2 linked regions of the Danio rerio genome follow. The protein of the gene in region 2 purifies or fractionates together with the protein of the main gene of each other region. This does not show direct contact. Links are inferred from orthologs where the notes say so. Each region holds a gene or a part of one and is shown on either strand. Other genes may lie near its edges. The genes, in order: nhp2 and naf1.

What was found.
Region 1: the proteins of naf1 (region 2) and nhp2 purify together in Homo sapiens (affinity purification with western blotting; 3 studies listed by BioGRID and IntAct, with this or other methods). This does not show direct contact. The link is inferred for Danio rerio from reciprocal best matches to the Homo sapiens genes NAF1 and NHP2.

What each region holds. Positions count from the first base shown.
Region 1 is NC_133196.1:33,045,804-33,063,547, forward strand, and holds nhp2 (H/ACA ribonucleoprotein complex subunit 2-like protein), read right to left. Parts: upstream 10,649-17,744; 5' UTR 10,516-10,648; coding exon 10,365-10,515; intron 10,184-10,364; coding exon 10,114-10,183; intron 5,110-10,113; coding exon 5,004-5,109; intron 4,920-5,003; coding exon 4,794-4,919; 3' UTR 4,429-4,793; downstream 1-4,428. UniProt on the Homo sapiens protein: Required for ribosome biogenesis and telomere maintenance. Part of the H/ACA small nucleolar ribonucleoprotein (H/ACA snoRNP) complex, which catalyzes pseudouridylation of rRNA.
Region 2 is NC_133179.1:10,562,176-10,579,112, reverse strand, and holds naf1 (H/ACA ribonucleoprotein complex non-core subunit NAF1), read right to left. Parts: upstream 12,730-16,937; 5' UTR 12,710-12,729; coding exon 12,644-12,709; intron 11,488-12,643; coding exon 11,021-11,487; intron 10,195-11,020; coding exon 10,014-10,194; intron 7,882-10,013; coding exon 7,788-7,881; intron 7,688-7,787; coding exon 7,605-7,687; intron 7,489-7,604; coding exon 7,328-7,488; intron 7,230-7,327; coding exon 7,178-7,229; intron 7,015-7,177; coding exon 6,924-7,014; intron 4,524-6,923; coding exon 4,207-4,523; 3' UTR 3,972-4,206; downstream 1-3,971. UniProt on the Homo sapiens protein: RNA-binding protein required for the maturation of box H/ACA snoRNPs complex and ribosome biogenesis.

The sequences.
Region 1 (17,744 bases), on a different chromosome or scaffold from region 2:
AGTTCTGTCATTGAGAGTTTTGTGTTGAACTTTAACACTTTTAGTACAGACAGCATAGCGATGCTTACCAGAGCAAAAACCCCTAACTAGTGCTAGTGCAGTTAAACAGCAGCACACTCCGAAAATTAATTGCTGAATTTTATTTCCAGTTCCTTCAGTTTGTTTATCCTCCAGCACCCATATTAAGCACTGAGCACACTTTGAAGTGTGTACACTAAAACATAGCTGAACTTAAAGCCTTGTTTGGTAAACTCATGGCACTGGCTGTATCCCCATCCCCCTTAACACAGGTGACTCATGTTAGACCCTGTCCCATTGTTGGCAGTAAACAGGCGAACACGTGGCCCCTTTTCCATGGCCTTATCACATCTGCTCTTTACGCGTTAATGCAGTTTCAGTGACTCTTGACTTATCATCCATTTTAAGCAATTCAGCTTGTGTCAGGTTACTCAGATTCATGATAACAAGTGCATCGATTAGAATCTCCAGCATCAAAACCACACATTATCTACAAATCCAAACAGAAATCCTCTTCATATTTCACGACTACTGCGAAATAAGTCGTTCTTCCAGCACAAATGTTCACCTACAGAAGTACAGTTACTCCTTTGTTCTGGTGTAATATCAGTCCTGGTCCCTTAGGATTCAAGAAAAACTTGTATAATCCAATATCCCTGAGCAAAACAACCTTGTCAATGTCGTCCATATATTTGTCATGCAAGTGATAACTCAAATGGAGTGTCAAGCATCAACCATCCCGCTTTCTGCTTTTGTCCAACTGAGGGACTGAAACCCCTCTCTTGTGCTTTTATACAAGATTTGGGTGTAATATGTGCCAAAATACAACAAACATCATGGGAGTACGAGCATTTCGGTATTAAATATTTAAGATGTCAACACCACACTGGGCCTTGTGAAATGAAAAAGACTGTTGATCAGTTTCAACACCTAACAGACTGTGTTGCCTCAGCAAACAAAGAGGCCCTACTGTACTTATGGCCATATTATGTTTCATTTAAGAGTTTAAAATAAATATGCGATAATAGCGTGGGGTGTTTAGCCTGTTTTTATATAATTAAAGTCCGTGAGGAGTAGGCTATGGAAAGTTTGGTCGCCCGGTTTTGGTAACCGCTAACGTTATGACCGTTTCTGGAAAGTCAATACTGCCACCGTGTGGAGAAATATACTGAGTTCTTATATGAGCAAAACAATGATTATTATACATTATTACCATGATTTTTTCATCGATCATGGCGCTATAGTTTACAATTATTAAAGGTAACAATAAAACTTAAGCTTACCTTTTGATGTTTGACTCTTAGCAAGCACGTGCACACATAGGCCCCCCTGACTTTTAGCTTCCGCCACAAAACGTTAGTGATATTGTCGAACTCTCGATATACAAACATTTTCTGTTGAAATCCACTTAAATTGATTGTAACAGTTTATATGCCAAACCATCAAGCGCCTGTAGCTAACAAGAAAATCATTTGAAGACAAATTAAAAGTCTCTATTAAAGGAGGGCCAAAATACTAATTAGCTATGGTTATTTTTTATTGTTAGTCAACGTTTAATAACTTTAATAATATTTAGTATTACTTATCATTTTTAGTATAAGTAAGTATAGATCACCTATTTGTATTTTTTACATTAAAACACTTGCAGTTACATACACCATACTATAGCAATATTACATTATTATATTACAAAATTTAATCAAATTGGTATTATTATTTTTTTTTTTTTTGAAAATTCTTTAGTAGACCCTTTTAGATCAGTTTAATATTTTTATAAAACAGAAAAGTCAACGTTTTATTTTTCTTTGATCATCCAAAAGAAAATTTTTTGATTTTGAAAATCACATGTACCACACCAGTAAAATGAACATACAGTTGAAGTCAGAATTATTAGCCCCCTGTTTATTATTTATTTCTGTTTCATGGAAAGATTTTCTTCAAAACAATTCTAAAATAATAATTTTAATAATTCATTTCTAATAACTGATTTATTTTATCTTGGCCATGATGACAGTCAATTTTTGACTAGATATTTCTCAAGACACTTCTATACAGCTTAAAGTGACATTTAAAGGCTTAACTAGGTTAATTAGATTAACTAGGCAGGTTAGTGTAATTATAGGCGAGTCATTGTATAAAGATGGTTTGTTCCCAAATTAAGTTTAACAGAGCAAGTACATTTTCACAGTAAAAAAATTATTAGCCCCTTTAAGCTATATTTATTTTCCAAAGTCTACAGAGAAAACCATCATTATACAATAACTTGCCTAATTAGCCTAACCTGCCTTGTTAACCTAATTAACCTAGTTAAGCCTTTAAATGTCACTTTAAGCTGTACCGAAGTTTTTTGAAAAATATCTAGTAAAATATTATTTACTGTCATCATTGCAAAGATAAAATTAATCAGTTTTTAGAGATGAGTTATTAAAATTATTATGTTTAGAAATGTGTTGAGAAAAATCTGCTCTCCATTTTGGGGAAATTGGGGAAAACAATAAAAAGGGGCTATTAATTATAACTTCAACTGTATCTAACGCAAACACACTGCATACACTCCATATGAATATAAAATATATTTTTATGTTTTTTAATGCAATTTTATGTGGGGGAAAAAGGGACTTCAAGTCTCTTTATACAGAGAGAGAGAGAGATGTCTTGGTATGTGGTTTAGTGGTATGTTACTGTTTTAATAATTTTGTTTTAATAATAGTTTTGATGTGAAGTGAACGAGATGAAAATACATGAAGCCATTAAAACATCTTCACTAAATGAGAATGTGTATAGTCTGGCACACTATTGCAGTGGTTCCCAAAGTGGGGGTCTCGGGAATATGACGGGTCGCTTGGTGATTTCCAAAATTCATTAATTTTCCTTTCGGTTTAGTCCTTTATTAATCTGGGGTCGCCACAGCAGAATGAATCACCTTCCAAAAATCAAATAAGTGTTATTTAACTATTAGAATTACCATATTTTATCCATAACCTACCGAAGATACTAATAGTACTTCATAGTTACATAAAAAAACAACAACATGCAAATGAAAAGCTATCAGCCTTTCAATAATTATTATTATTTTATAGGATCGGTGTGTTTACGTTAGATTAACAACACAGCAATAGTGTCAGCTGCAGCAGATTGATTTTATACCACCAGGTTAAACTTTGACACCTTTATGTGCAATCAACTACATTAAAAGTAAATACAGGCCACAGCTGAACTCTTAGAATGCTCTCCCAGTGGCAGTCTCCAAAATTAAACCAAGAATAGACTTGTGCTAAAAACATTGTCCACCAGTCTCTTTAGAGGAGGTTAATATTAAACTAATTAATAAATGACTATAAAAATGACATGGTTATTCCTGTTTTTGTGTTGTCAATATACTGGTGTTTATATACAGGGCTCATACGCATTTTTACTACAAAAATTCCATGACTTTTCCAGGAATTTCAAGTCAATTTTCATGACCTAATGTTTCATTTAATGTTTACATATATGTGGCAAATCATAAAAAAACGTTTAAATTGATTACAGTATATAATAAAACATTCAATAGTATCCATTCATTTTGTACCTATGTAAAATAGATGATGCTTATACATCACTAATAATGTCAGAACATGTTTTAGTAAAAACTAATCTCCATTCTAACCTCAATTATTTGCCAGTAGTTAATAACTACTTTTAGATAATCTTAATGGTTTGTTAAAATAGTAGTAGTGGGTAAAACTACTTGGATTATAAAGCCGTGATCTCACTACACTTTTCGCTCTATAGACTTCCATTCATAGGCATGCGAATGCGGCAGACCAGAAACACAAGAACGTGTTTCGCATTTTACTGCATACAAAAGTTCAAGCTTGGGGAATTCTTACTTGCCAAATCACATCAGGTTATTGCGTGAGACCAATAGAAGATCATTCAAAATAAGAAGTTTAAAATATGGAGCAAACGCTTACATTTATTAATGTCTAATCATATTTTGAACCCCGCCGCTTTTTACAGCATCACACGATGGAATTTTGCAAGCACAAGCTCTAGTGTGACCACAGCTTAGGTCGCTTTGGACAAAAACGTCTCCTCAATGTAAATGTGATTTCCATGACTTTTCCAAAACTTTGTGGGTTTTTCTTTTTTTCCAAAACTTTTCCAGGCCTGAAAAATGCCATGTCAAAACTCCATGACTTTTCCAGGTTACACATGACCGTATGAACCCTGTATATAGGCCTTTTGTGTATGGGGTGTTTATATATTTATATTTTACACTTAAGGAATTTGGGGGCTGAGGAGTCACTGGCATTGTTATTTTAGGGTGTGCAGACTGAAATCTTGAATGACAAATGCAGCACTTTGGAATAAAAGTTTTGTATGATATCATGTAAAATAATAACATTAGTAATAAGAATGCAAAACTTGGTAGAAAAAAAACAATCAAAATGTTTATTTTGACATCTTTTGGAGCTCTGAGATCAAAAATCAAATCAAGCAGTTATGAAAGAGAGAAATAAAAGCCACCAATACATCAATCATTAGAGATCACCAGCGTCAAATATTCAGTAAATCAACAGGCTGAACATTCACCGCACAGTGAATTGAACTAAAGCTTTCTTTACACAAGATCATTAACCGCCATCATACATTTGTTCCTCCTCCTTCAGATAAAAAAAGTCCACAAAGACAAAAACCAGGGCGAGTCTTGTACTGATAAACATCACACCATCCTAATCTGACGTGATATATAGTCATTGTACTTAAAAAAAAATACAAGTGAAGTGTGTTCAGATTGGTTTCGGCAGAGATGTGACCTCCTCCACACACTCATCATACGCTTCTTTATACTCATCATGGGGTTTGATCATTATGACGCACGTGGGACGCTTGGATCCGGCTGACGAGCCCAAATCCTGCACAAACACATGAGCATCTCTGAATATAGCTTTCACAAAGGTTCATTAGAGGTCTATTGTATACGCTTCTGATCAACTTACAACTTTGGATGGCACATAAGCATACGGCAGGCTTCTGTCTTCACACATGATTGGTAGGTGACAGTAGACGTCGATGGGAAGAGTGTCTCCAGCAAACACTACAATACTGAAAGAGGACAGAAAATAAGAAACATTAGGGGTTTCCAATATATTAGATAACAGAGAGCCACATCCCACAGGTCATTTCAAGAATAAAGATGAAATTTAGGCTGTGATAAACAATATTTTAAACATGACAGAAATATCTTGTTTTTAAAAGGTCACATTTTTTATGGCATTTATATTAATATTCTTAGGGTATTTATTGACAAATGTATTTGATAACATTTTAAAATAATTTACATAATATGTAATTGTTTATTGTAATACAATTAGTGCTGTCAATCGAAAAAAAAAATTAACTAATTAATCACAGTTTTTTTTTTTTGAAAATTAACGTAATGTAATGTGTATTTATATAACGCATTTATTATGTATGGCCATACACCCAAAGCGCTTCACAATCATGAGGGGGAGGTCTCTCCACACCACCACCAGTGTGCAGCATCCACTTGGATGATGCGACGGCTGCCACAGGACAACGGAGCCAGTACGCTCACCACACACTAGCTATTGGTGGAGTGAAGAGACAGTGATATTAATCACATTTAAAAGACTGAAACTTGTAATTTTGGCTATTCAAATGTAAAATTAATGTAAAGGCAAGTCAAAAAACTATTTAAATTCAAAATATAATTGTTTATTAGACTTTTTTTTAACTTGTAACACAGATTTCTTCATGTAAATAACCCACAATAACCCATCAAGATCCTGCTTCACAGCCATATTTACAGAAATGAAAACAGGCATGTTAGTGCCATTTAAGTTTCAAAACAATCAATGCCAATAAAGAAAAAAAAAATTCCAAGTTGGATTTTAAGTGGACTGCAAAATATGCCAAAATACAGGCATTGCAAATATGAAAATTAGAAAATAATAATAATAAAGTATTGAATACAAACAATTGTGCTCATTGTAAAGTTGTATTACTGTGAGTTGAGAACATTAATTATAAAGTAGAAACAATTTTGCTCAGTCCTTCTTTACATTAGGCGGTCGTGTTGAGCACCTGCCCCTGTAAGGGTCTGTGCACGGGATTGACACAGACAGACAGACAGACAGACACACAACGCGCGCAATGACAGGGGAGCCGGAGCGACTCCCTTCAGATTCAACAAGCATGACCGCGTTCATCAAATCTGCTTAAACTAAGCGTTCTAAAGTATGGCTATATTTCACAAGGATTCTGACAGAGTCCAAAGACATGCGGTACAGGTGAATTGGGTAGACTAAATTGTCCGTTGTGTATGAATGTGTGTGTGGATGTTTTCCAGAGATGGGTTGCGGCTGGAAGGGCATCTGCTGCGTAAAAACTAGCTGGATAAGTTGGCGGTTCATTCCACTGTGGCGACCCCGGAATAACAAGGGACTAAGCCGACAAGAAAATGAATGAATGAATACTCAGATTTTAATATGATTAAGATAATACTCTTATTAAGAGTCGACCAAGTAAGCAGCGATTTTTGATTACAATAAAGGACCACCGAGTCACGAAATGCAGAGGCTTTTCTTTCCATTCACCATGCGGTATCAAATTCTATTAAAACAGAAGTCGAAAGTTAAAAGTGACATTAATTGTTTTATACTGAAACTTTCCTTCAAAAAGTGCTTCCTTGGTCTTCTTATCCATATTTCTTTGCATGTTATACACACGTCGACCACAACAGGAAATAAAAAAACCCTGCAATGCGTTAATTATTTTAAATTAATTGCATGCATTACACTAATTTTGACAGCACTAAATACAAACATTAAAAAAACACTTGTATTACATTTAAAATAATAAACTATTGTAACTTATATTTTAACAATTAAATGATTAAGTTCAATTCATAAAAAATATTTTTTAATCCTGATAAAGCATACATAACGCAAACAGTTAGTCATAATTATTCGCCCCCGTTTACCTCCCCCCACCCCCATTTCTGTTTAACGGAGAGATTTTTTCAATACATTTCTAATCCTCATAGTTTTCATTACTCCTTTCTAACAACCGATTTATTTCATATTTGCCATGATGACAGTAAACAATATTTTATTTAGACTTTTCCAGAACTTTCAAGTACATTTTCATGACGTAATGTTTCATGTAATGTCTACATATACATGGTAAATAATAAGAAAATCAATGACGTTCAAATTTATTACAGCATATCATAAAACACGCAACAATCTATTTTGTTTAAATTTATTTTTATGTGAGCAAGTTTTTGGCCAAGGACAGAAAGTAAGACAACTAACCAATATTGAAGTTAGGGCTGCACAATATATCGTTTTAGGAATGTAATCGATATCGCAGTGTGTGCATCCACAATAGTCACATCCCAGCATATGCAATGTTGGAATTATAGTTTAATTATAATGGAGTAGAAGTTTATCATCTGCACGCATCTTTAAAGAGATAGTTCACCCAAAAATGACAATTTTCACAAGAAATGCTTTGTAACTTTATTAAAGATTAAATAATATGCAATAAAGACTATGCAGTGTTTATTATTCAATATCTGTACATGAATAGTGAATACCTGAAAACTATCATTAGCTTTTATCTTTATTATATTTTATTTATCTATGCATGAAATTAATTTGTTATATATTATTCAAGATTCCCCCCGGTCAATCCAAATAAACCTGTAAAATCATCTGGCAAAATTGTATTTATATGGCAATATATATCACAGAAACACAAAATATGGTAATGTCAGATTTTTTCAATATCGCGCAGCCCTAATTCAAGTATACAGATATTTGTTAAACTACTTTCTATGATTCTTCCAAAACTTTGTGGGTTTTTCTGGTTTTCCAAAACTTTTCCAGGCCTGGAAAATGCCATGTCAAAATTCTATGACTTTTCAGGGTTTCTATGACTGTATGAACCCTGGTTTGTTATGTAGAATATCGAAAAAATATATAGCTTAAACGGGCTAATAATTTTGTCATTAAAATGGTGTTTGAAAAATTAAAAACTGCTTTTATTCTAGCCGAAATAAAACAAATAAGACTTTCTCTAGAAGAAATAACATTATCAGACATACTGTGAAAATTTTCTACTCTGTTAAACATCATTTAGACAGGATAATAAATAAATAAATAAATAAATAAATATCTAATATATAATATAAGGGGCGGCTAATAACTCTGACTTGATTTTCAGATTTCAGGCCTGCTTGATCTCAAGTCATAACTCATAATAACTTTTTGTCTGACTGAAGCCATATTGTGTCTGATCAGCAAACTTTGATCAATGACAAAAAAATCAAAACAATTTGAATGTTACCATACAAGTTCCATGTTAACACACTTACCCATTTTAATACATAAAACTTGAGAAAATTTTTCAAATATAAAAATTCACAAAGACGAAAGCTATTATTAAATTTCATAGTTGAAAATATTTTTAAATACATAATATAATTAAATTTATAAGTGCATATAATCTATATAAATGGTAACAATTTCTTAATTAAACGATATTACATTTTACAAACAAAATACTGAAGTAATTTCTTCATGCAGAAATGATTCATGTGTAGACTATCATAACTGTTAAAAGAGGGAATTTAACTATAACTCAATGCTAAAACAGCTACTATAACATTGTTTATCAATATGTTGACCTTTTTGGATTCTCAGAAGCTATAGAAATGAAAACATGTCAAACAGAAAATACATTGGGACTAGGCATGGGATGACAACTGTTTTCAAGGTTTACCGCGGTTTGGAAAAAGTCCAGGTTTTAAAACATTCAAAATTTTCATGTATTTCATTCCTAAGGTATGTGTAAGATTTTTTATTTACGCTTTTTTAGGCCAACATCTTCAGCAGAGTAGATATCCAAATATGTCGTTTTAAATTGTAGAGAAATTTGTGTTTTTGAAGGCAGCAGAAGAACGTGTTTTTTTTTTTTTAGACATTTAAAAGAAAATATTTTAGAGTTGTGATCACAAAACTGTGATATTTCTATCTAAGGCAGTGGTTCTCAAACGTTTTTCATCAAGTACCACCTCGGAAAAAAATTGTCTTTGCAAGTACCACCATAATGAGCAGTTTTGAAATACAGTAGCGTATTAGGTCTAGTAAAGCAGCTTAAGCTCTGTACAGTTTAAAAAAAGAAATAACTCCTGGTTTGTTAGCACCTGGAAAAGTTGCCTAGACCTCATAAATATAGGCTTCATGTCATCATATTCGTATATAAATCATTTTTGATAATTTCTTTAAATATATGTAGCATGTACATATTACATATTTGATTCATCCGCGTACCACTAGAAGAAGGCCTGCGTACCACTAGTGGTACACGTACCACAGTTTGAGAACCACTGATCTAAGGTTATCATAGCATCAGAATTCTAAACCACCCATGCCTAATTGGGACCATTGTTATTGTTTACGTCCCTCAAAATGGTCTAAAGTTTCAACAGATTCAAGGATATTTTTTAAATAATTTAAATAAAATATACTGCTAGTTTTCTAAAACTAATATAGCTTTCATATACTATAACCATAAGTTAAAGATATATTTACACTATAAAGGGATAAATCACAGGGAAAAAAAATAATAACAGACTCTTTATTCTCCCTCAAGTTTATTCCTTCTGTTGAACACAAAAGATATTTTGTAACAAGCTGAAAACATTGACTACCATAGTAAGAAAAACAAATGCAATGGAAGTCAAAATATATTTGTTCAACCGAAAAAATTAAGTTAAACTGGTTTGGAACAAAATAAAAAGTGAGTAAATTATGAAAATATAAAATAACTTTTGGTTGAACCATCCCTTTAAGATGATCATACTGCGTACAAACTGAACCAAATACAACATCATGAGCTCAAATAGTTTTGTGAATTTTGTGCATTTCTTCGTGTTAAATTAAAAATTAGTATTATTCTTTGTCTAGTAGTGTAGTCAATTTGAAACTAGAATGAACTTTTTAAAAGGCTAATATGGGTTAAACCCTGGACTGATCAACCAATGGGCTTAACAAATACCTGAAAAAACCTTAATCTTACCCAGTCTCTCCTTTGTTGATAAACTTCTGTACTTCTTTGACTCCTCGTCGGATCTGTTTAACTTTAGCCGCTAAGAAAATATAAATATAATAATGAATAACACTCATAACCAATGAACAAATGACTGCAACCACGTGTCTGCAACATATTAAACCTACAGACAGCGATATTTAGTATACTTTCATTCACACTCGCAGGCAATAACGTTACTCTTTATGAATGTTAAAAACAAGTTCTGAACACGTGTTTACCTTTCTTGACGCATTTGTAGAGCTTTTTGCTAAGTTTTCGCGATGCTAGCGGGTTTGCGATTGGGTTAATATTAGCTATCAACTCTTGATATGATTTTTCCGTCCCTCCGGTTTCTTCTTCCCCGGCTTTCTCCTTCTTTACCTTTGTCATCTTTTGTTAAAATGTACACAAATATACTTTAGCGATTAACTTAAGGCTGATAGTGTTGCAGGCACAGGATGCAAGGCACAACACACGTGCGGTGACTATAAACGTATTTCCGGTGTTTTTCGAACACTGCAGTATTTCCTCCATAGAGTCGAATAATACATAGATGCCGCTCTCGACGGTGAAGTCTAGATACAGCTGCGGATCATTTTTGTATAACAATAATATTTTATTAGTAATATATTTTTAATATATTGTATAACACTGTATAACAATAATATTTTTACAGTATTGTGACGGTTGAGTTTAGGGGCAGACGTTAATGAAATACCATTTATTTATTTATAATAAATAAGTGCGGCAAAACGGCCGTTTTTACATCACTGTATAAGCTGGCTTTAGGGTTGGGGCAGACGCTAATAAAATACAATAAATAGGAAACTTAATAAACAATATAAATGATTACTGTTAATTTCCGGCCGCAACCGTATCTGAGCTAGAAACCGCTCCAGACTCCGTCCGCCAACGGTAAATTTAGCTTGCACTTACCACTTCGATTTTAATTTATAAAGAAACTGGACATTTAGAGGGGGAAATGTAGGTATTTTATAATGGCATCTTAATTCATGGTTTTATCAGCAGTATTGTGGGGAAATCATTTTACAATCTAAAGTCATTTGGAAAAATTAGTTAAACGTGTTTACTTTTCAAGAATGTATATGTTATTGTGAAAGATTACTTTTTATTATACACATCAACTAATGCATTCGTGTTGCTAAAAATACATTAAAATCTATTGTAGATATATTCACACTTGCTTGTTTTTACAGTCAACTTCTCGAATATTTTGCTCGTTACATGGCAGAATCTAAAAGAGGCATCTATGTATCTACATCTAGAATGTCGTGTTTTTGAGTTGTTTTAAAAACACTGACCCCTAGTGCACAAAATGAACAAACGAAAAGAAAAGACTTTTATTCAGTCATCAGCCTCACACATCCACTCAAAACTAAAGAGTTTCCATCATTTACAAAAAAAAATTGCATGAGTAAAAACTCAGCTTAAATGAAAATGTAAATAGATTACAGTTTCAGTTCTTCTTCTAAGCTACAAAAAATATGTAAACTATCAGGGCAAACTATTTCAAACAGAATAAATACATAAATATTTTTTATGTTCACTTTATCTCCCAAATAGCACGAAGCTCATTTGCACTTTGGATGCATATCTATATATAATGTGCATTTCTCCCATCCAAAAGAGAAAACGTTTGTCTTTTGTTTTGGATACTGGTGGCCTTCAACACTTTACACATTCAACAACTTTCTGGAAAGGTTACAATAATGCTATATGCATTAAAATTAGTGACCATGAACTAAACGTTTGCTAAAGGTTTACAGCATTTACTAATATCATGGACAATGAACTAATTAGATATACATCTACTAAACATTACCATGATGAATAAACGCCTTAAACATGATTGTTCATTGTTAATTCATAACCAAATCCTCAACTGTTGTTAAACACACATCATCAAACTGTAGTGTTACTAATATTCTCACCAATCTCATATGCTGCTTTTCCCTCTAAACTAGTATCACATACGGAATCCACTATAATAAAGGCGTAAAGTGCATTTCCCGGGTCAATTTAACACTGCAACACACAAAAAGACAACCTTTCCAGACATTAAATGGGCACTGGACATTGTGTAAATCAGGGGTTCAAAACAAAAACTGGTGTAGAAGCTTACAACAACAAAACATTTATAAATACATATAAATAACCATTACTTCAAAGAGTAAGTCAAACATGTAGTCGTCTAGAGATGTAAGAACAATAGCATCGTACAAACTATGAATGTACAAAAGCATTAGCGGGACAAGAAGTGAACCAAAGTCCTGTCACCGCTCTTGAGTCTTGACAGCGATACCCACGAGGGCATGGCGAATGGTGCGTCCGTGCAGCATGTAACCGTCTTGCTTGACCATGGCGATGGTTCCAGGCTCCGCGCCCTCGGCTGGAGTATGGCAGACGATTTCGTGCTGATAGGGGTCATATGTGGTTCCCACAGGGGTCATCTTCTCCAGTCCGTGCTTGGTGAAGATGTCCTGCAGCCGCTCCTGAATGTGTGCCAGGTTTTGTGCCAGCTGCTGTGCTCCATCGCTCTCCTCAACTGTTAAGTTCTTCTCCAGAAGGTCTGCCACTTCTACCAGGTCACGGCAGAAACTCTGAATCCCTGCAGGAGGACAATTATGCTTAATGTGGGACTGAGAGATTTACGAGACACCAAGGTATGCGTGCATTAAGTGTATAGTTAGTTATACCAAAAAGTTTGGCGTCCTCGACAAATTTCTGTGTTCTTCTTCTAACATTGTCTGAGTCTGCAACGGCTCGCTTGTATCGCTCCTGTGAAAAGCACAGTTAATTAACAATTGACAAAAACTAAATTAGAAACAACAATTAAACATTTAGATACAATGTTAAAAGTGAAGGCCAATATTCACTTGTTAAGTCGTGACGTATAAAATACTGTTTCCGGGTCCAGGCCGCTAGTCATTTGAAAGGAGAAAATGTTAATTTGTGCCCAATTTTAAGTCATATCACACATTAAAATGATTTTTATATGCAACAATCTCTGGACTTGCTGCATCACAGTCACCAATATTTGAACAATTTATAAAAAAATGAATCACTTTCTAGCCATTTGATATTAGGCATGGAACTAAATATTGCAATTGTGATTTTTGAAAGCATGACATCACTTTGCAAACATTATCAAACATTATGCTTATCCTTGCCATTTGTTGAGTCTCCTCATTCAGTCTAATAGAGCAATTGGACCTGGAAGCCACTTCATGTGACGTCACATTAAACAAGCAGATAATTCTGATTTGCTTATTATCTGGTACAAATCGTATAAATATAGCAATTGTAAATATAGAAAATATCAAGCATTTATAAACAAATGCTGTACTACTTATTATAAATGTCAAGCAAGCAAATTTAGATTCATGCCAAATTAGATAAATCAATACCCCCACAGATTAAAGATTAGGGCTGCACAATATATCGTTTCAGCATCGATAATCATTCGCAACAGTTCCATTGCAGAATATAGAATGTATCATTTTCATGTGTTTTTTTGAGGCCTGTGACTACATTATGATTTTAAAAGAATTCATGGATGATAAATTGTACCGTTTGTCACTTTATTAATGATCAATTTTACTGTTTTAATAATTTGACAATTACTGAACCTACATACTGTTAGACTCTGGAAAATGATAAAACGTTATTTAAATTGTAGCTTTTTTATTGTATTGATCTATGCTTTTAGATGGTTTATATTTTATTCAGAACTAAAAATATATATTTTATTATAAATATATTTTATTCAGTCTAAAATTACTAATTCTTTCTAAATAAAGATAAAAAAGTAATCTGGTGAAATGGTACTCAAAATGAAAATCAATCTTTTGTTTAAAATTTTTTTTTCAAAATAAATATCGCAGAATTACAAAATATCAGAGATTTTTCAGATATTGTAAAGGCCTAATATATATGTTTAATAAAATCTATTTAAGATTAAATATAAGAATATAAGATGTTTTTTTATTATAATTTAAACTGCAAAGCTACTTTTATAATTGAATTAATGTCAAGGAAGCAAAACATCTAGAAAATCTGCACAAATTTGGATTGATAAATTATTAAATGAAAAACCTAAACTTAAACCTAAATAATAAAATATAATAATATAACATTCACAGCTAAGGATAATAAAAAATCTAATTCCATTTTTGTTTAGATTCTGTGTTTTTAATGTGTCTTGATTCCATATTTATAGTAAAAAAAAAAAAAACAATTTTAGAAATCTTAATCAAAACATTTACAACTAACTGAAATGAGCTCTGTTCAAATGGTAAATTACGGTTACATAGATTATCATTGAGATGGAAAACACACTGTGTACTTATTACTTAAAAAACAAAGTTAAACTATTATTATTAATAATACTGTAAGAACATTCTTGTGAAGAATAATAATATATCTCTGTCACAATAAGTTTAATGGGTAGTTATGAAGTTTAATAGACTTTGAGTGCAAACAAGTATTTTGCCCCAATATTTTTATTATTTATCCAAACTTTGTCCAAACCTTTGACATTCCGAGTTACACTGATTGTAGTTATGTAGTAGTTGATCATTTTAGGGTGAAGAACCCTACATGGTAACTTCATTGACATTGATTACAACGTTTTTTTTTTAATAATCCCAGTAACACTCCACGGTTTTTCCAAAGAGTGCCCTACAACGGGTTAAAGAGTGACAGAGTTGCCTCAGCTGAAGTAAAAAAAATTAGTGTGAACTTACGGTGAGGTCGTGAACCTGCTCCTCCAGTTTTCTGGCTCTCATCTCAAGGGTCCGGACGTGTGTGACGGCATGACTGTGGTCGTCATCTCTGTCTTCACCATGGCAGTCGTCACCAGCACTACGCTGCTCTGCCGCAGTGCTAAAGAGGCCTACAGCAGACCTGAAGCCATGAAACAAGAGAACAGCTGCTAAACACTCACTCCTTTCACGTGTAGTATAACGTTACACATAACCTATATATTCTACAAGAATGCCTATTTTAATACAAAGACTGAGCTACTCAGGTTTCTGCAAAAAACAACAACAACTATAGAGCGTATTTGACAAAGAAAATGTCAATAAACAACAACTACTATATATAGTTGTTGTGTAATATATATAGTTGTTGTTTAATGAGTTGTCTGACTCCAAAGTATTTACAGTAGTAATTAAAACAGAATCTTTGATTTACACTGACTGTAATAATACACATTATTTCAGGAAAAAATAGATATGGTTATTGTACATTTTATTCACATCCACACAACTGTTACTTAATAGAACAATTATACTAAGACTGAGCAATATGGCAAAAATGCAATCTCGATAATTATTTTCCATATTGAGTGATAACAACATATATTTCGATAGAAGTTGCTAATGCTTCCAGATTTAAAAGAGTATCCTAACAGTGACTGAAGCCACAAAAATTTGAGGGTCTGTTAAACGCCCTAACATATTCTTGGCCGATAAATCTTCGATGGCTGAGAATTCTATGCATCTCTACACATTTTTAGATTCCCATCGTTGCACGCTTCTGCTGTGTAATTGGTTCTTAGATCATATCAGCTGTGATCTTATCATTGTCATAGATAATTTTCTTAATCGCAATTCGATGTAATATCGTATATTAGCCCAGCTCTAAGATATACTACTTTAAAAAAGAAAAAATAACCACAAATTAACACTAAAAAAGTAATAATACACTCAAAATATGTGATTTTGCAATCTAGGTCAGTTTGGATGAAGAGTATTGTTATTTTAACAATTATCAACAATATTTCTTAAATGTACATATGCTTTTTTTGTTTGAAATTCAATGTCACTATTGAATCACAATGCAATTAAATAGTAAAAAACTAAATTTATGAAATCTAGGCTACTAGTCCTAAACAACATATAATAATCTGCAATGCTTTCAAGCAAAATAGATTTTACAGGTATAAATCCAGCCTTTAAGAGGTGTTAGATATGGGGAAAAATCTAAATGTACAACTGTTTTTCCACATAAATATTACTCAAAATGTATATATATTTTTCCCCACCAAATCAACTAAACCTGCTCCATATACAAAGATTTTAGAAATTATAGCATTTACAAACACTTGATCAAGTTAATTATGGATATTTTGAGGACTTGGCGCATTTGAAGAGTGCAATTCACTAATTTGAAAATATTTTGTCCGTTTTTAGAAAATATAATTTTTCTCTTTCAGATCAAAAGTAAGTAAATTTGTTAAAAAATAGACAAAGAACCCCAATTCTAATTTTGTTCCAGTGTTTTAGGTAAACTGTGGCCACAATCATGTTAAATAACAAGTACTATATTTAACTATAAAGAGAGAAGAAAAATGCCCACAATTAATCAACATTTTCAAGTGTGGGTTTCCACTTTGGTTTGTATAAATACACATAAAGATTTTGCATAATGTTGTTAAAAACAATTAAATAACAAAAAAAACGAGCAAGCTACATAAAACACGCCATATAACCAATGTAATAAATTCTTACACCAGTAATGATGTTTAATGTAGGTTGAATTTGATCCAAAGGATCAGACGTGACTGCAAATGCCTAAACAATAGGAGGGCTGATAACATATGACCGGCTAGCATCAGTAAGACTCAAAGAAAATTAAGTATGCAATAAAAGCCATTCATCACCATGAGTAATTACAGGTTTAATTCGTGTAACGTAAATCTGTGAAAGCAAATGAGCCGTGGGATTGAGGATTACCCGAGTGAAAGTAAACACCAAACAAACACTTCTTTACAGTAAACAGGGGAAAGAGAATACGTTTTCCACAACATCCGACAGTGCCTTAGTGTATATTATAATAACAGTGTTGTTGTTATATTTATTAACCTGTGACTGCGGAGGATAAAGCGTGTACGTTAACATTTAAAGACACAGATGTAGCGTTACGTGTATAGTTTTTTTTTCAATGTGCCAGATGCGAGTGCTCGCGAAATCTTGCCAAATACCGTAAAACACCATTCAATCACAAAGTGACTAGCTGTTAACACATCTTGGCGTTTGTAAAGCATTTAACTGATATTGGTTGTATGTTTAAGTGTTGTGAGCTGTGGTCCCGGCTAAACCGTTAACTCGCTCGTTAGCCTGTTAGCAGCGGGGCTTCCCCGCAACACTTTAAACGGTCAAAATGACGACACTATAAACTAAAACCTAATTTTCCTCACATAAATCGCACACTTGTATGAATGTTTTTCGGTAAACGTCTTTTTACCTGGTGACCGCACTTGGTGTTAACCTGCACAGATCGATCGGATTTCTTCTCGTTACGGACAGAAAGCGCACGGCCATTTCCTCAGTCGAGTATCTGTACGGGTGGTCGGAGCGCGTGACATGCTCGGTGAGTCATGGTTCAGAATCAGTGAATCGACTCACTAAGCGACTCTAATGAATCTCTCTTTAAATGATTGTGCAAAAATAAAACAATACATCTGAAAATTGTTATTGTAAAAGCACAGAATTAAACGGATGTAGGTTTTTTTCTTAAGTGCCGTATTTGGCTGGTTAAATACTGTACTGGACAACACTTAATAATAATCTTCCTCACGGGGTTGTAATCCT
Region 2 (16,937 bases):
TTGTGTGTTTTTAATTTGAAATGCTTTAAATTTTATATAATGTCTTTTATTGTCCTTATCATCATATTTATTATTGTTATTGTTATGATTACTATTATTATTACCTAATTAAATGTAGAATTTATTTTATTTTGAAGTTACTTTTTGTTGTCATTTGTTTTAGATTAAAAATAGGATTACTTAAATATAATATTTATTTATTTTTTTATTTTATGCATGAATGTTAGCTTGTTAAAAGTATTTTTTAATGTGAAATGAATAAAAATTCTTTTAAATTCAACATTTTGGTCCTCACAAAAAAAATCTTCCTCATGTCATTTCAAACATGTAAGTTTTTAAAACAATTCTGCATTATTATTATTATTCTAATTATCTGAAACTATTTAGAACATTTTTTATCAAATACATTTCCATTATATTATGGAAGTCACTGAGAACCACAACTATTTAGTCAACAACATTCTTTAAAACAATTTTCATATTTGATGTTACTATAGATTTGGAACAACATCAGGAAATTTCTGGGTGAGAGGTTACTTAAATTTTGCATTCCATAAACATAAAAAAAATGTTTTTATTTCACAGCAGTCAGCTAAATCAAAGCCATTTTGGGAGTATATATTTACATTCCAAGTGTGATTCGGGTAGATCTGGTCCTTCATCCTCCCAGCAACATTAATTAAAACAACATGGAGGCCTCATTCTGAAACTCACGGGCCGTTTAGGATCAGACTGGGCAGATGGCCAAGAAAGACGTGACTACACAGCAATGCAAAACCCTAAAAAGAAGAGGAAGAATTTTACCAGTATGCGTAAACATAACTCATTTTATGAGAAAAAACTTCTAAAAAACAGTTACATTCAATCCCTTAGTGTCTTAGGCTGTATTTAGAACAAAAAAACAGCTCACTGCTTACTGAATACTGCACACTGTTGAGTAAACGCAAGTGAAATGGAATTCATTACTTCACAATGAACAATCGCATGCAACACGGAAAGCATTTTTCCCCATTCAATTTTTCCCCTTGGGTTTTTTTTTTTTTCATTTAGCAATGCAAGTGATTGGTGGCGTTTTCAGCACAGCATCTTGGGTAAATGAAGTTTTTCTCCATATTTATCTATTTATTTATCTATCTTTTTATTTAATAATTAAACATGTTTGAAGCACAGCAATTACTAACTGAACAAAATACATAACCAAACTCAACTAGTGACATTTTTAAACATTACAAAAGCACAACAAAGTACTTTAAATAAATAAATAAACAAATAAAAACAAAGCTGAAATGTTAAAAAGATATATTAATAATAGGCCTATATAAATAAAAACTAGAATAAATTACTGCGCACAATACACTTATGGTGGCAGCACTAATAAAATAAATTGGCTGTAGTGTATGTATGTAAATGAGTGTGTGGATGTGTCCCAGCACTGGGTTAATTGCAGCTGGAAGGGATATCCGCTGCTTAAAACTTGGTAGTTCATTCCACTGTGGCGACCCCTGGTGATTTAAGGGACTAAGCCAAAGAAAAATGAATGAATGAATGAATGAATGAATGAATGAATGAATGAATGAATGAATGAATGAATGAATGAATGAATGAATTGATTAATTAATTAATGAATGAATGAATGAGTACACTTACGCGGTAGAAATGTATGAATGTATACGTTTGCAACAGCATTTTCAGCCACAAAACACAAACATTACAATACTACACACACATTAGGGACCATTTATTTTGTAAAACACTAGTAAGGGGACAACAAGCTAACATATAAGTCAAAATGGTAAACTCACCTGTAGTTTATTGACTCATTGTAACCTTAGAGTACATATTGTATATACGCAGTGGTCATTGCTTTAACCAAATACCACAACAAGGAAATGGCGTTTACTTCCGTCATTAACAAACAACAGCTGGCTGAGAGACATTTCGCCATTTGCAGGAGCTCAGTATCTTTGTTTTGCCTAAAATATTCAGATTGTAGGAGATCCGTGTCAGCACGAGGAAAAAAAGCGCGAAGAGCTGCCACTCTCTGTCACAGAAACCTGATGGCGTTGCCTGGCAACCGAATGGTCCAAGGAGGAAACTGAATCACTGCTGAAACAAGGCCAAAAACGTTCCCCTCAAATGACACGCCAAACAATGATGAGCGGAAAAGCACGAAACTGATGACTGGTTCGGTTTTTAGTGTTAAAGTTTCATACTTAGACAGCTGGCCCATTTACGTAATGTTTATTTGAGTTCCAGTTCGATCATTTTCTCTCCCTATATTATATAAACACAGCAAAACACCATTATGAGGTCAAAGTCAACAAACGAACAAAGACAACTTTGTAGCTGCTATAAATGAAGGCTAATCGACGAGTTACCGTATATATACTCCTAGATTATGTTTAATTAAGACTTTGAATATCAATAGGATCTGAAAGGGGCTAATTTATATGCAAACATTTCCAAGTAACGCCAATGTGTGAATAGTTTGCGCACGTTCCAGTCATTAACAGAAAAGGTAAGTAAAATTGGTGGTCATTTTGTAAGTTAATTGATAAATACCGAAATAAACCATCTGGTGTAGCCTAAATATATGCTAAAATAAACAAGATCACTTTGTTATTCAGTTTCTCTGGGTTTACACATGTTTGAGTAAAATAAATGTTTGGTTGCACTGCAAACTATTGATGACATTTATTTGATGCTGTTCATGCTGAATTTAAAATAAATTTTAATTTGGAACATAACATTATTACTATTAGACAGTTATAAAATGACCAAAATTAAAAATTTATTTGAGAAGACATGAACTGTCAATTGGGTTGTACCCTTTCAAAAGGTACACATTTTTACCTAAAGGGTCCATATTGGTACCTCAATAGTACATAGTACCTATACATTTTAAGATAACACTTTTATACTATTTAGTTACCAATACCTTTGAGGTATTAATATGGACCTTTTAGGTACACATTTGTACATTTTGAAAAGCTACCACCCCAGTGACAGCTCATGTACCTTTATTTCTGAGAATGTAACATCTTTATTAAAACAAACATTTCCAAAAGTAAATAGTAGTGTATTTAAATTCTAAAATAAATCTGCCCTATACACCTAATTATAACCAGAATATGCTAATGTAGTGGTTCAGACATGGCTGAGACATGTCCACATTTTCCATCAGGTGCCCCATATTGTACAGAAGCCAATGAAAGTGCCAGTTCCCAGATGGATTGTGTGGCCCTGGGCACTGCCAATCTGCTGGAAACACACTGCAACCTTGAGTCCAAACGCATGAGATACTGAGGTCAGAATTACACTTAACAAACATCAGAATAAAAGAGCATCCCTGGACACTCATAATGTCAATAGGAAAGAGGACATAGGATCATGGGATAGGGCACTGTTTGGTTAAAAATTGACTGAGGGTGTCATTTTAGATTATAACAAATTTAACTATAAAAATCCAAACTTGCAGAGGGACTTTCATTGTTTTAGTTTTATTAACAAAAGATTTATTAAATGCTAAAAACTGTACAATATTAAACAATGGATTATATTAAACATGAACAGCTCTGAGTCGAACAGACTGAGATCCAATGTACTAAATATCAGCTTATGAAGTAAATTAATTCTACTCCAAAGCTATTGAAGCCCAGAAGCAACTTAATGCTGCTGTAATAACCATAATGTTATAGTAAAACATAAGAAAGTGCAGTTATATTACTATATACTGGTCATTTTATCACCTATTTAACAGTATTGTTAGGAAAACAAGAAAAAACATTCACTGCTCCTGGCTGAATAACTGACACTATAGCAAGTTACCTGAAATAAATCAGCACCATAATTGAATTTGCACAGAACCTGTGCAAACTGTAAACAGAATATAGAAAGTAATTGATTTTCAATGATGTTTCTTATGTGTTTCAAGCATCTGTCCTTGTTGTGTTGTCACAAACAACTCAAACTTAATGAAAAATACAGTTTATTAAATTTCACTGTAACATAATCATCATTTAAACAGATCTGCGTGTAGAAAGAGACACTAAAAATGAGAAATTAATCATTTTTAATACATTTTAAAAAGTGCACCATGAAAATATACAGTTACGATTGATCCACACTATACACTTGTATACAGATACATTAGTATACAAAGATTGTGATTGCATTTAGGGCACAGACAGTGATTCAGTCACAGGTTTACTGATAAGGAGGTGGTGGAGGCGGAGGTGGGGGCTGGAACATAAACCCCTGATTGGGCCCTGGGGGCCACGGGGCCATGCCCATGTGATAGGGTGATGGTCTGGGAAAATGAGGGACCATCGGGCCCTGATAGGGAAACATCTGTGGATCCGGATGAGGAAGCATGTATTCAGGTGGGAACCGAGGGTGAGCGTGGAAGTTGCTGTGGAAACCGCCGCCGCGATTGTGGTACTGCCCGCGAGGGTGGTTGCGGTTCTGTCTGGGCTTCCTCCGGGCAGCTTTTTGAGGCATTTTTTGGGCGTCTGATTCATCCTCTGATAAGACAATGAAAAGAATAAAAAGTAGCGCTATTACACCGCAACAACATGGGCATAATAAATGAAAAGAACGGTTGTGGGTGGTGGAAGGAAACAAAAATATCCCCTTCAGTCGACAACCAAACGCGGACAATACATTGAGAGTAATTGAATAGATTACCGAAAAAAGGAAAGTATTCATTTAAATGATCTCTTTAGGGTGGCCAGGAATCTGCACAACATAACCTTAATTACCAGTAAATCTTTCAAGAAAAATACAGGAAGCTTACCTTCCTCCCTGAACACAAGGTCAAAAGTAATCAAATAAATAGACAGGCCACCCCTACAAGCTCAAACTCTCAAAAAGTAGCAAGCATACATGGACATTAGTACAAGAATAAATGTTGGTCGTTGGCCAGAGAGGAAGGGAAATCCAGAAGCTTTCCACTCCCAGCAATCATCGCACCAGTTCCCTTTTCTAGGTGGCCGTGACCAGCAGCCAATCCGTTAGTTAGCATATCGCTACACTGAGCCATGTGCACAAGCAAGATTCTGAATTTAGCTTGCAACATCATGTCCCATGTCACTAAAAACACATTTTATTTAAGTGTCACTTTTGCCTATTGAGTGTGTAACTGTTTTGAATGCAAGAGGTCTGTTAGTAATCCTTTAAACATTTTTGATCATTGCTTAAGCGTTAACATTTTGTATATATCCTAATGTTCACATCTGAAAAGAAAAGACAAGTTTTGTTTGCTCACATGAACACATGCATTTGCCAGTGTGTGTATTTATTGCCTTGATGTATATTGGTGTTAGTATTGAATCAGTAAAATGTCAATCGATGATTCTTTTTACAATCCTACTAGCCTTTTATTTACAGTTAAAAACATTTGCACATTTGAGGAGGATTTTGTTTGTTTGTCATCCTGTCATGCCTGTAACAGTAAGCCACTGAAGTAAACGTCACATTATTTATTATTGATTGTAGGGTTGGGCGATGTTGACCAATTTGGCCTAATGCCGATGTTTCTAATGTTTGATGGAAGGAAACAAAAGAAAACAGAAGGGACGGAGTGACAGAGTGCGCACGATGTGTCTGAAGAGCGAGAAGGGATCCGAGGGTGAGAAGGGTGCGCGACTTGTTTGAGGACCAGGAGGGAGCAGCGCAATTTCCGGGGGATTATCACTCGTTTGCAGGCATTATGAGTCCCGCAAATACAAAGAGACTCCCAGAACTTCCGGGAGTCTTGGGAAGTCTAAATATCACGTTTAACAACTATAGAAGAGACACGATCCAGCAGTACATCCTTGATAAACTGTCAGACGTGCACTGCTCTCTGGAGCTCAGAGGAGCACATAACAGTGTGTGGTTGTGTGAGGTTACATTGTGTGCGAATTAAGCGGACAGAGGGCTGTTTAGAAAAGCTAGGTAAAACACGGTGTGGATGTGGATCATTTTCCTTCTAAAATGCTATTTTAACACCAAGACGTATTAGTGTAAACGGGCCGTGAGTGTGTATTTTCGCGAACGGGGGCGGGGTGGAAGATCGGCGATGCCGGCTCAGCATTGTGTAGTCTATTGGCCATCAGCGATGGACGATGGCATCGTCAATTGTCCCAACCCTAATTGATTGATGAATCAATAATGTAAATAATGACAGACTGTGGAAATTTGAGTAAACTCATATCCCTATTTCCAATTCAAATTACACAATAATTCCAGCAATGTTCATTATGCTTTAAATGGAGCAAATGCAATGTGTATTATATATTATGAGAATATTAAATGTATATATACATTATGACAAAATTAGTGCTTGGTAAAGATGAATAGCATGCAAAATAAATGTTTGCTTTGACATAATATTAATGTGTGTGTTGTGTATATATAGTATGTATTCATAAATACACACATGCATGAACACATTTGAGAAAATATATATGACATTTTAGAGATAAAATGTATGTGTATATGATAAAGAAAATATATTAATTTAAATATCTGTTACAAATAGTTTTGTACAGATTTGTTTATATGCATGCATCATATCTACATAATAAATAAATATATTAAAATAAATAAATAAATAAATAAATAAATAAAAAAAATATATATATATATATATATATATATATATATATATATATATATATATATATATATATATATATATATATATATATATATATATATATATATAAATTATACACACACTGTCAAAACAAACTATTATTATTATTAATATATTATAATTAAAGTATTATATTGATTAATTGTGATAATCAAAAGAATCGCACCCAGCAAAAGACAAAATGTTCAAAAAATAAATAAATTCCAACCCTAAATGGTTGTAAACCTATTGTTGGAGTCCCCAAAACAAAAGTAGTGCCACTTTATTAAACCATTTGACCCACCTGAGTCTGAGTCGTTTTGTTGGCGCCTCTTTTGCTCTTTCAGCTTCTGTTTAGCCAGCCTCTCTTGCTCATCATCACTAAAGTCAAGCGCCTACGCAGACACAGAATAAAACCCAATCAGCAGAGAACTAAACAATCCGTCATTAACAGATAACACTGATGACACATTAGAGCAGGATGCCACGCTCTTCCACACAGATTAAACCTGCGCTGACCTGATTTCCTACATAATTGTCATGAAAAGGCACATTTACCTCAGGGGGAGGTTCCTGGTCATTTTTCCAGGAAGCATCTGAGCCTTTGAGCCTGGTTTGAGAGGAGTTATTTGTTCATGTTAGTGGAAAAATAACACAGGTATCAAAAGAGCATTCGAATAAATAAAATGAATGTCATGAGCTACTTACGTCTTGAGTTTGTCTGTGAAGATGTAGTCTGTGAAATCTTTAAGCTTAGGGGCGAAGTACACCGGGTCTCGAACTTTAAGGTCTTTCTGTTCAATGTCGTCATGGGAGTTGAACCGTAAAACATAAAAGGGCTGACAAACCGGCCCGAATATTTCAAAGACCTGAAGAGAAATCAACAAGCTGATTATTCCCCAATATATCTCTGAAAAACGGCATAGTACATATTGACACATTGCTAAACATTTGGAAATAAATTTGACTGATATTTACTACCGACCTTGCCGACAGAGTTTCTGTTTTTGCTGAACAACACACTTTCTTCATTCAGTGGTGGTAAGTTCTTGTATGACTCCACGATCACTAATCACAAATAATCCATTTTTAGTGCTATAAATCTAGCTAGTATGCTTGCTATACCATAAATATATACCCATGTGGGGTTTGGCAGATGTCTGAATACCTAATTGATCCACGATGCTTGATATTGTGCCGATGGGCTCCATTTCTGTATCTTCTGGAAGGCTGATGATCAAGTTTTCCACTGCAGGAAGGTCCTGCACACAAGATATGCCACATGTCATTATCATTTATGTCTAATAATAATAATAATAAGGCATTTTATTTAAAGGCGCCTTTCATGACAATCAAGGTCACCGTACAGGACAGCTAGAACAATCAGTTTAAATTGGAAAACAATAAAAGTCAATAGAATACAATACAAATTTTAAAAATGCAGTCGGGTTAGAGAGAATAAACAGATGTGTTTTGAGTTTGGATTTAAATAGAGAGTCTAAATTACGGAGATCAAAGGCAAGTGAATTCCAAAGCTGACGAGCAGAGTGGCTGAAGGATCTGCTCCCTATGGTGACAAGGCGGACAGAGGGAACAGTGAGGTGAATGGAAGAAGAGTGTTCAAGAAGATGTGGCGATATGACCAAGATTAGCAAGGTATGGAGGAGCAAGATTGTGGATGCTTTAAAAGTGAGAAGAAGCATTTTATAATTAATTTATTCGGAAAAAGATAGGAAGCCAGTGAAGCGGTTGTAGAATGGGCGTGATGTGACAGATAGAGGGGGTTCTTGTGATAATCTGGGCTGCAGCGTTTTGTACCAGTTGTAATTTATAAAGAGTTTTATTAGGGAGGCCAAACAGAAGGGAATTACAGTAGTCCAAACAGGATGTGACTAAACTATGAACAAGAATGGCAGCTGAATGCGATGACTGCTATTAACATTGGTCTCGGTTGGTTCAATCACAAGTGGACGTGTCGGGCACAATTAATTCAGGTCTGATTATGCAATAACAGCCTGATTTTGGCACATATGGGAATGGGTATCAGGACGCAAGAATCAATAGTTTGCTCTTGTATGGTGTGTCATAGTGCCGTGCTTCCCAACCCTGTTCCTAAAGGCACACCAACAGTACACATCAGTACAATCAAACACACCTGAATCAACTCATCAGAACATTGGTAGAGACTCAAACCTTTACTGAATGGGTCAGATAAGGGAGACATCCAAAATATGTGTTGTTGGTGTGCCTCCAGGAACAGGGTTGGAAAAGACTGTCATTGTGGACAACAACAAATTTTTTTTTTTTTTTTTTACTTCTCCATGAGGGGATTGGTTGTTTGTGTGACACTGATAACCTCTTAAGATCTTCTGTACATGCAAAACATTCAAACATAGGGATATAATGGTTTTGGTGCTGCTAATTGGAATTATTCAATGGAGTAAAAGTTCAAGATAATTGAATAACAAAGGAGTCAGTATAAAACTTGTCGTGTTGGTAACACTTGCTGGTTTACAACACAAATGTAGGAGTAAAAAATACAATTAAATTGCATATTTTTTGTTAAATTACATAATCTGACAATCGCCCTTATAACAGACAGAAATATAGTGTAGTCAAGCTTTTGCACAGTTTAATTACATATAATTTAATTAGAACTTCAATGTAGAAATTGTTTATACAGCCAAAATGGCATTGTAGAATATTTATGCAAAAGTATTTAATAATTAAATGTCAAATTAAGTGATGCATCATATTTGCATAATACATATATGTTTGTTAACCTCAATAATTCTCTACTCAAAATGAATTTATTTTTCCACAGAAAAGACTTGAAACATTAAAGCAGACACCCAAGTTGAATTTAATACCATTTGTATGTATGTAAAATCTTATATAACATATCCAATGAAGAACATTTTTATTAATTAAAATAATTAAAGATGTGTGAAGGATTCAGATGCAAAAGTGTTCTTTAACTATAAATAAAGGCAATGAAAATAACCTATTATTTCTCATAATAGTGAAATAACTGAACATAAACATAGGAGCCTGAGGAAAAAGATTGTTTTCAGGTGGCAATGAAGAGTTTTTGGACTCTTTGCATATTATTATGTTTATTAATAATATGGTGGAACACAATAAGAATTTGGTAACAGACTACATCAGTGTTTTGCAATAATGTTGTATGTTTAAAACAAGACTATAAATATATTTTTAGGTTACGTCACCAACTATATATTCCTAGATGACAAAACTCCTCTGAATTACACCTCTAATATCACAAATAAGTAAAATAACTCACAATCTAATCAAATACACTGGGAAAGATGGAAACATATCAGCTTGGGTTCATAAATTGCTGTTGGAAAAGAAGAAAAATCTTAAAACTTACATCAATAAGCAGCTCATCTTGTGTTTTGACCGGTGCTGACTTTTTATTGCCCCCGGCAAAACCTTCATCATCATCATCATCTTCTGCTTTATTCGGCATAATCACTACCTCAAAAGGCTCAGAGGAGGAAGACGAAGAGGAGGATGAAGATGAGGATGTGGAGGATGAAGAGTCTGAGTCACTAAATAAAAGTAATAAAATAATTTAGCATTGAACATTCCTGGGGTGGGGGTGGGGGGGTATAATTGAAGCATCACAGTTTACGCATACGGTATTATCCAGATATTGACCTAAGGATCTAAATGAAAGCACACCAGGTCACACTTTTACATTAAAATTTCATTGGTAAACATTAGTTAATGCATTAAAATCAGCAGTGAGAAATAGACATGTATCATAATTATAGAGTTCATTTTAAAAATGCAAATTAATTGTATTAGTTATTAACTCCATTTGATGAAATGATTACGACTTTTGATTTTAATGCTATTATATGCATTAATTAAGAAATTAACAACACCTAAAAGATAGAAAAATGCTTTTTTTAATTGTCATTACCAGGCAATTTATTTTTATTTATTTATTTATAAATACTCATTTATATAAAAATGCAACAGAATTGTGGTAGTTATTAACTCCATTTAAATAAAAAATACAACTTTTTATTGTAATGTGCAATTATGCACCAACTATGAAATGTTTTTGTTGTTGTCATTACATAACTGAGGTTAACAAAAAGAGCCTTACTGTACAGTGTTAATACACAAAAGGCCTATAAATGAATACATTTCACAGTTTTAGCTCGGATTAACATGTAAAATTGTTTGAAATCAAGCATGTATGCATTTGATGCTGTGATGAACAACTACTAATACTCTACAACACATTAATACATATTCTTCACTGTATCTTGAAGTGCCTACCATACTCAATGTGTGCATGGACATCATTACAATATATTGAGTATATGCCTAGATGCTATAGTGTTTAATGTCGCATGATTTTACCTGTCAGAACAGTTGTCATCCGAGCTGTTTCCTCTGTACTGCATGCTCAGCAATGCCAACGATCCAGTGCCAGACTGTGGACTGACCACAGTCCCATATTGCATCTCTGCTGGACCAGACTGAACACTACAGATCTGTTCATCGATTGGTTCAGACTTAATATTGGAGCTCTGATCTGCCCGTCCAGACTGATCACTGGTTAAAGCATCTCTTATTAGTGCAGGTTGACCACCGGAGCTCTGATCTTCTCCTGTGAGTCCAGCATGATCACTGGTAAAATCTTCTTCTTTTACAAGTTGATGTTCTGAATTCTCTTTGCTAGATTGTTCAGGCTGAATGCTGGAGATCTGATCGTCTCTCTGTTCACTGGTGCATGGTTCATCTGTAGGTCCAATTAACACATCTGTGTTTTCAGTCTTGATATCCAGTTCCATTTCGTCTTTTTTAGATTTGGTCTCATCTTGATCCTGGAAAAGAAACAAAATTTGTGCAAGATATAGATGTGAAAAAATAGCAATTATTATTATTATTATTATTATTATTATTATTAGGGATGCACAATATATCATTTCAGCATCGATATCGTAATGTCATCATTCGCAAGTCTGGATTCAAATTCATAATTTTGCAAGTGATTTCTAAGGCGTGTGAGGGTTTTAAAAGCATTAAGGCCTAAGAAATTGTACCATTTGTACCTTTCTTAATTTTATAACCATCACTTTTATTGAATTGTTTATAAAACAAAGACCAAGTGGTATTATTTTTCTTTTGATTATTCAATTACTGTATACCTGAATACAATTTCATTCATTTTCTTTTTGGCTCAGTCCCTTTATTAATCAGGGGTCGCCACAGCAGAATGAACCGCCAACTTTCAGCTGCAACCCAACACTTGCAAACAAAAAAACACTGTTTATTTCATTTGAATCTTTTTCGTTATTGAACTCATCGACGCTGTTAGATTGTTTTTTATATTTTATGCACTTCCCTACAAAATCCACCCAAATCAATCTAAAATTATAAAACCATTCCAAATGGTTCAACTCATTTAGTAAAATTGTATTCATATCGCAGAATAAAAAATTGCAATATGAGAATTTTGCAATATCATACAATCCTAATCAGTATTATTATTATTATTATTCAGCATGATATTAACACCGTAAGAGAACATGTGGAATAAAACATTTTCTATTAAACTGATGTGATTCTCTTATGTGAGTGCACATGATCTTTGTCATTTCTCAAAGGTGCTGATGGTTGAATTAATTCTAATGGTTATTATTATATTTAGGGGGAAAAAAAACATTGAGTGTCTCTTTAAGTAATCAGCATGCAAGATTAAAGTTAACTCAGCAGGGTGGCGGTGTTACTGATGCCGTGACTTGCAATCTAATATATATTAAAAATCTATTTAAAATCTGAGCTGCATCTTCCTCTAACCTTACTAAGTTAGTCTACAGCTATTCATGCTTGATGCACATGCTCAATTATTCATCACTCAAGTTTAAATTATAAATGCACATTTTAGAGGATACAATACATATATTTAGTACCTACCAAGTGTGCCACAATGACTGTGAATGATAAGAAACACACATACGCATATAAAACATCCTTTACCTGGCTGTAAGTTGCGTTTTCTGTACTTGAATTCTCCATGTTTAGCTCTCCATGTGTGAACAGCATGAAGAAAGCGCTTCAGCTATGATTCTACGTCATCGGCTACACGTGAACAGGAACCGAAAAAAGCCTTTCAAAATAAAAGCCACAATATCTGTTGATAAAACAAAAGTTAAATGTTTAAAATATAAACAAAATAAGCGAACATTTGTATAAAATTTTATTCAACAGTGCCAAGCTAAACAAAATTTCAGTCATTCATTAATTACCAATACATAGCTGAAATTATACGCTTATGCGAGTCGTATGTTTGAAAAAACAATCTCCTTCGAGCCGGATTCGAACCAGCGACCTAAGGATTTCAGTGATAATCCGCTACAGTCCTCCGCTCTACCAACTGAGCTATCGAAGGGTATGAAATGACGTCAGGAGCAGCGGAATTAGTCGACTTCTTATGACTAGTAGAAACTCAGTTAGAGATATCTCTAATTACAATTGACTAGTCGAAATTCATTTAGAGATATCTCTAATCACAATTGTGACTAGTCAAAACTCATTTAGAGATATCTGCAAATATTTTTCAATGGAAGTCAATGGAGGAATATGACCAGTCACAATATATTTGCAGATATCTCCAATATGATTTCGTACTAGTACAAATGTAATTGCAGATATCTCTAATTGTCATTCTGACTAGTCGAATTATAATTATGACTAGTCAAAATATAATTAGAGATATCTCTAAATATATTTATGGATAGTCAAAACAAAGTAGTAAATGTTAAAACGGCTTGCCATAGACGTCTATATTCCGTGTCTATGCTGATATTTCGGTTAATCCGTAGTAGTTTGTTTGGAAGTTGACAGAGATTTCTGAAAGTATTATATTTCGCGGGGCTGTTCAGTGTTCATAATCTTAAACCAGGGCTGCCCAAGATCCTGTCCCTGTTCCCCCGTCTAAACTGAACCGCACTTACAAAAATGGCTACAGAGTTCGTTTCAATCAACCCCGAAGTCTCTAATGTGAACACGTTATTATTGTAAGCTGTATAAACCGAAGTAAATAAAGACACTCCTTCGAGCCGGATTCGAACCAGCGACCTAAGGATGACAGTGTTATGATACCGCTACAGTCCTCCGCTCTACCAACTAAAATGTACCACCAATAAATGTACTTTTTTAAAAATCTATATTAATATTTGATCTCTATTTAGGTTATATACCATTTAATATAACCAAATTACTGGCTGCTGTAGTATTAACAAGTTACCAGCAGATAGCGCTATTGGGCTTCACAAAAATTCACGAGGCTCAAACTACAGCTGTGCGCATTAAAACAGCACATCTGAACCCTTGTACATTAATTTCTTTTGAGCATAAATAATGTCTACATACACACTTACCATGATTTTACACGTTCAGAAAATGTCACTCAGTGTAACAGTTGCTTATTAGCAGAAGTGATGGTGGCATAATAAAGATGTTTGTGTTTTAAAAGGTCAAAAGTGTTGTGTATGTGTTTTGTTTTACATATTTTATCACGTGAATGCATTTATTCTTTTTCAAATTTATTAGAAACCTTAAGGTAGACACTTTACTTGAATTTAATACATTCTGTATGTATATATCGCTTTATTAGTAATTTAATAACAATTAATTTCACACCAATTTGTCCAAAATAAATATGTATTATTAGTATTATCATTATAAGTGTGAAAACACACACAAAATATTCTGTCAACAGAACAAGACGATAGAGATAATTTTTCCATGACTTTTATAGGACTGTCAAGTAAATTGTCATGACCTATTGTTTCATGGAATGCCTATATATATATATATATATATATATACACACAACAGTTCTGTCTGGTTCTCGAATCTGATTGGTTGATAGTCGTGATAAATTTAAGTAATATCAGGATCCGTACAGCTTCTTTACCTTTTGTGTATTACTCCGCTCACATACAGCCAGCAAAAAGCAGACACAACAGATCTAAAGTTTAAAAGATGCTTGTTCAGCTGTTTAACTGTCAGCTTATGATTTTAATCCAACGTGGAAGAAAGTAGTTCCTCATACAAAAGGGTTTTTGAGACTCTCCATGTTTGATTTTGTTTTTATATACACAATTATGCCGTCAAACTGTTGTATAAACGCAATATCACACGAGTAGCAGTGTGATATGGCTGTATATCGGCACTGGTGGGGGCACTAAGGCAACACACGCCTCCCACCAGTGCCGATATACAGCCATATCACACTGCTACTCGTGTGACATTGCTTATATATACACTTCATAAATAATATGAAAAACTATGCAAGCTCAAATCCATAAAACAAAAAAACAAATCTATTTAGTTTGAATTTATTACATAAATCTATTGTATGTAAAATGTATTTAGATAGTGCTTACACATGGCGGTTCATTCCCACAGTGGCACCTCTGAAATTGAAAGAAAATGAATGAATGAATGAATAAATGCTTATGCAGCATTCCTAATGTGAGACCATGTTTTTGGCAGAGACAAGAAGTAAAGACAACTAACCTATGCTCAAGTTTACAGATATTATTGTTAAACTATTTTCCATGACCTTTCCAAAACTTTGTGGGGGTTTTTTGTGTTTCCCAAACTTTTCCAGGCCTGGAAAATGCCATGTCAAAATTCCTTGATTTTTCCAGGTTTTCCATGACCGTATGAACCCTGTAAATCTATATTCACAGATGTGGAACTCCGCCTGTTTCTAAACCCTAACATTCACCTCTAATTTTACTTATTGATTATTATTGAGTAAATCGGCAGATGTTCTGATGCTTTAGTGAGGAATCAGTAAACAACGTCATCCTTAAATGAATGTATGTGTATTTATATAGCACATTTATTGTAAATAGTCATACACCCAAAGTGCTTAACAATCATGAGAGGGGTCTCTCCACACCACCACCAGTGTGCAGCATCCACTTGGATGATGCGATGGCAGCCACAGGACGACAGCACCAGTGCGCTCACCACACACCAGCTATTGGTGGAGTGAAGAGACAGTAATAAAGCCAATTCGGTGGATGGTGATGATTGGGAAGCCATGATGGGCAAGGGCTGAAGGAGGGAATCTGACAAGAACACCAGGGTTACACCCCTACTTTTTACAAGAAATCCCATGGGATTTTTAGTGACCTCAGTTTAACGTCTCATCCGACTACGGCACAGGTGTCAAACTCAGTTCCAAAAGGGCCGCAGCTCTGCACAGTTTAGTTCCAACCCTAATTAAACAGACCTGATCAAACTAATTGAGTCCTTCAGGCTTGTTTGAAACCTACAGGTAAGTGTGTTGGAGCAGGGTTGGAACTAAACTGTGCAGGGCTTCGGCCCTCCAGGAATTGAGTTTGACACCCTTGGACTACACTGACAGTATAGTGTCCCCTTCACTATACTGGGGCATTAGGACTCACACAGACCTCAGGTTGAGTGCCCCCTGCTGGCCTCTCTAACAGCACTTCTAACAGCAACCTAGTTTTCCCATGTGGTCTCCCATCCAGGCACTGACCAGGCTCAGCTCTGCTTCAGCGAGTATCTGCTCTGGGCTGCAGGGTGATATATTATATAAATAAAACTCCAGTAAACAGAGACAAAAGCAACACACACACACACAAATATCAGGAGGTCATGGAACCCCACAGTGGTTTAATCCTAAAAAATATATGGCATGATTGACAACACAACCTGGTTCAGATGAGAGAATCGAATTTAAAAAAAAGTTTGAAAACAAACAAAAAAAAATGTTACGCAGTTTTTGCTGTGAGAAAAAACTCAAACGTTACGAAAACCAGGACGACTGGAAGAAACGAAAAAAAAAAGAAAAAATTTCGGGTTTATTTGAGTCACATCTGAAGGTTTCCAAAAAAAAATATATATATCATTAGTCACGTTAACACGGAGATAAACAATGGCACATATTGGATCTCTAATTTAAAAGTTAAGTGGTGCTGTCATATTTCAGGAGACAAAAGTTAAATAAATTACTACCATTAACATACACATTTGAATATTATATACAAAGGGAGTTATTGGAACAAAAATCTACAATTCAAATTTCGTCGTCAACAATTCGGAAGTATTACCCTATTTTACAGTGTGTGTGTGTGTGTGTGTGTGTATTAGTTTGTGTATCTGCAATTAAAAAAACAAAAACAAAAGATCCTGTGATAAACAGGTGATACTTTTATGCATCCTCAGTCCAAGTCCAGCAAAATAGACTCTCTCTCGCTCTCCTCTCTCTCTAAAGGAATAATATAAA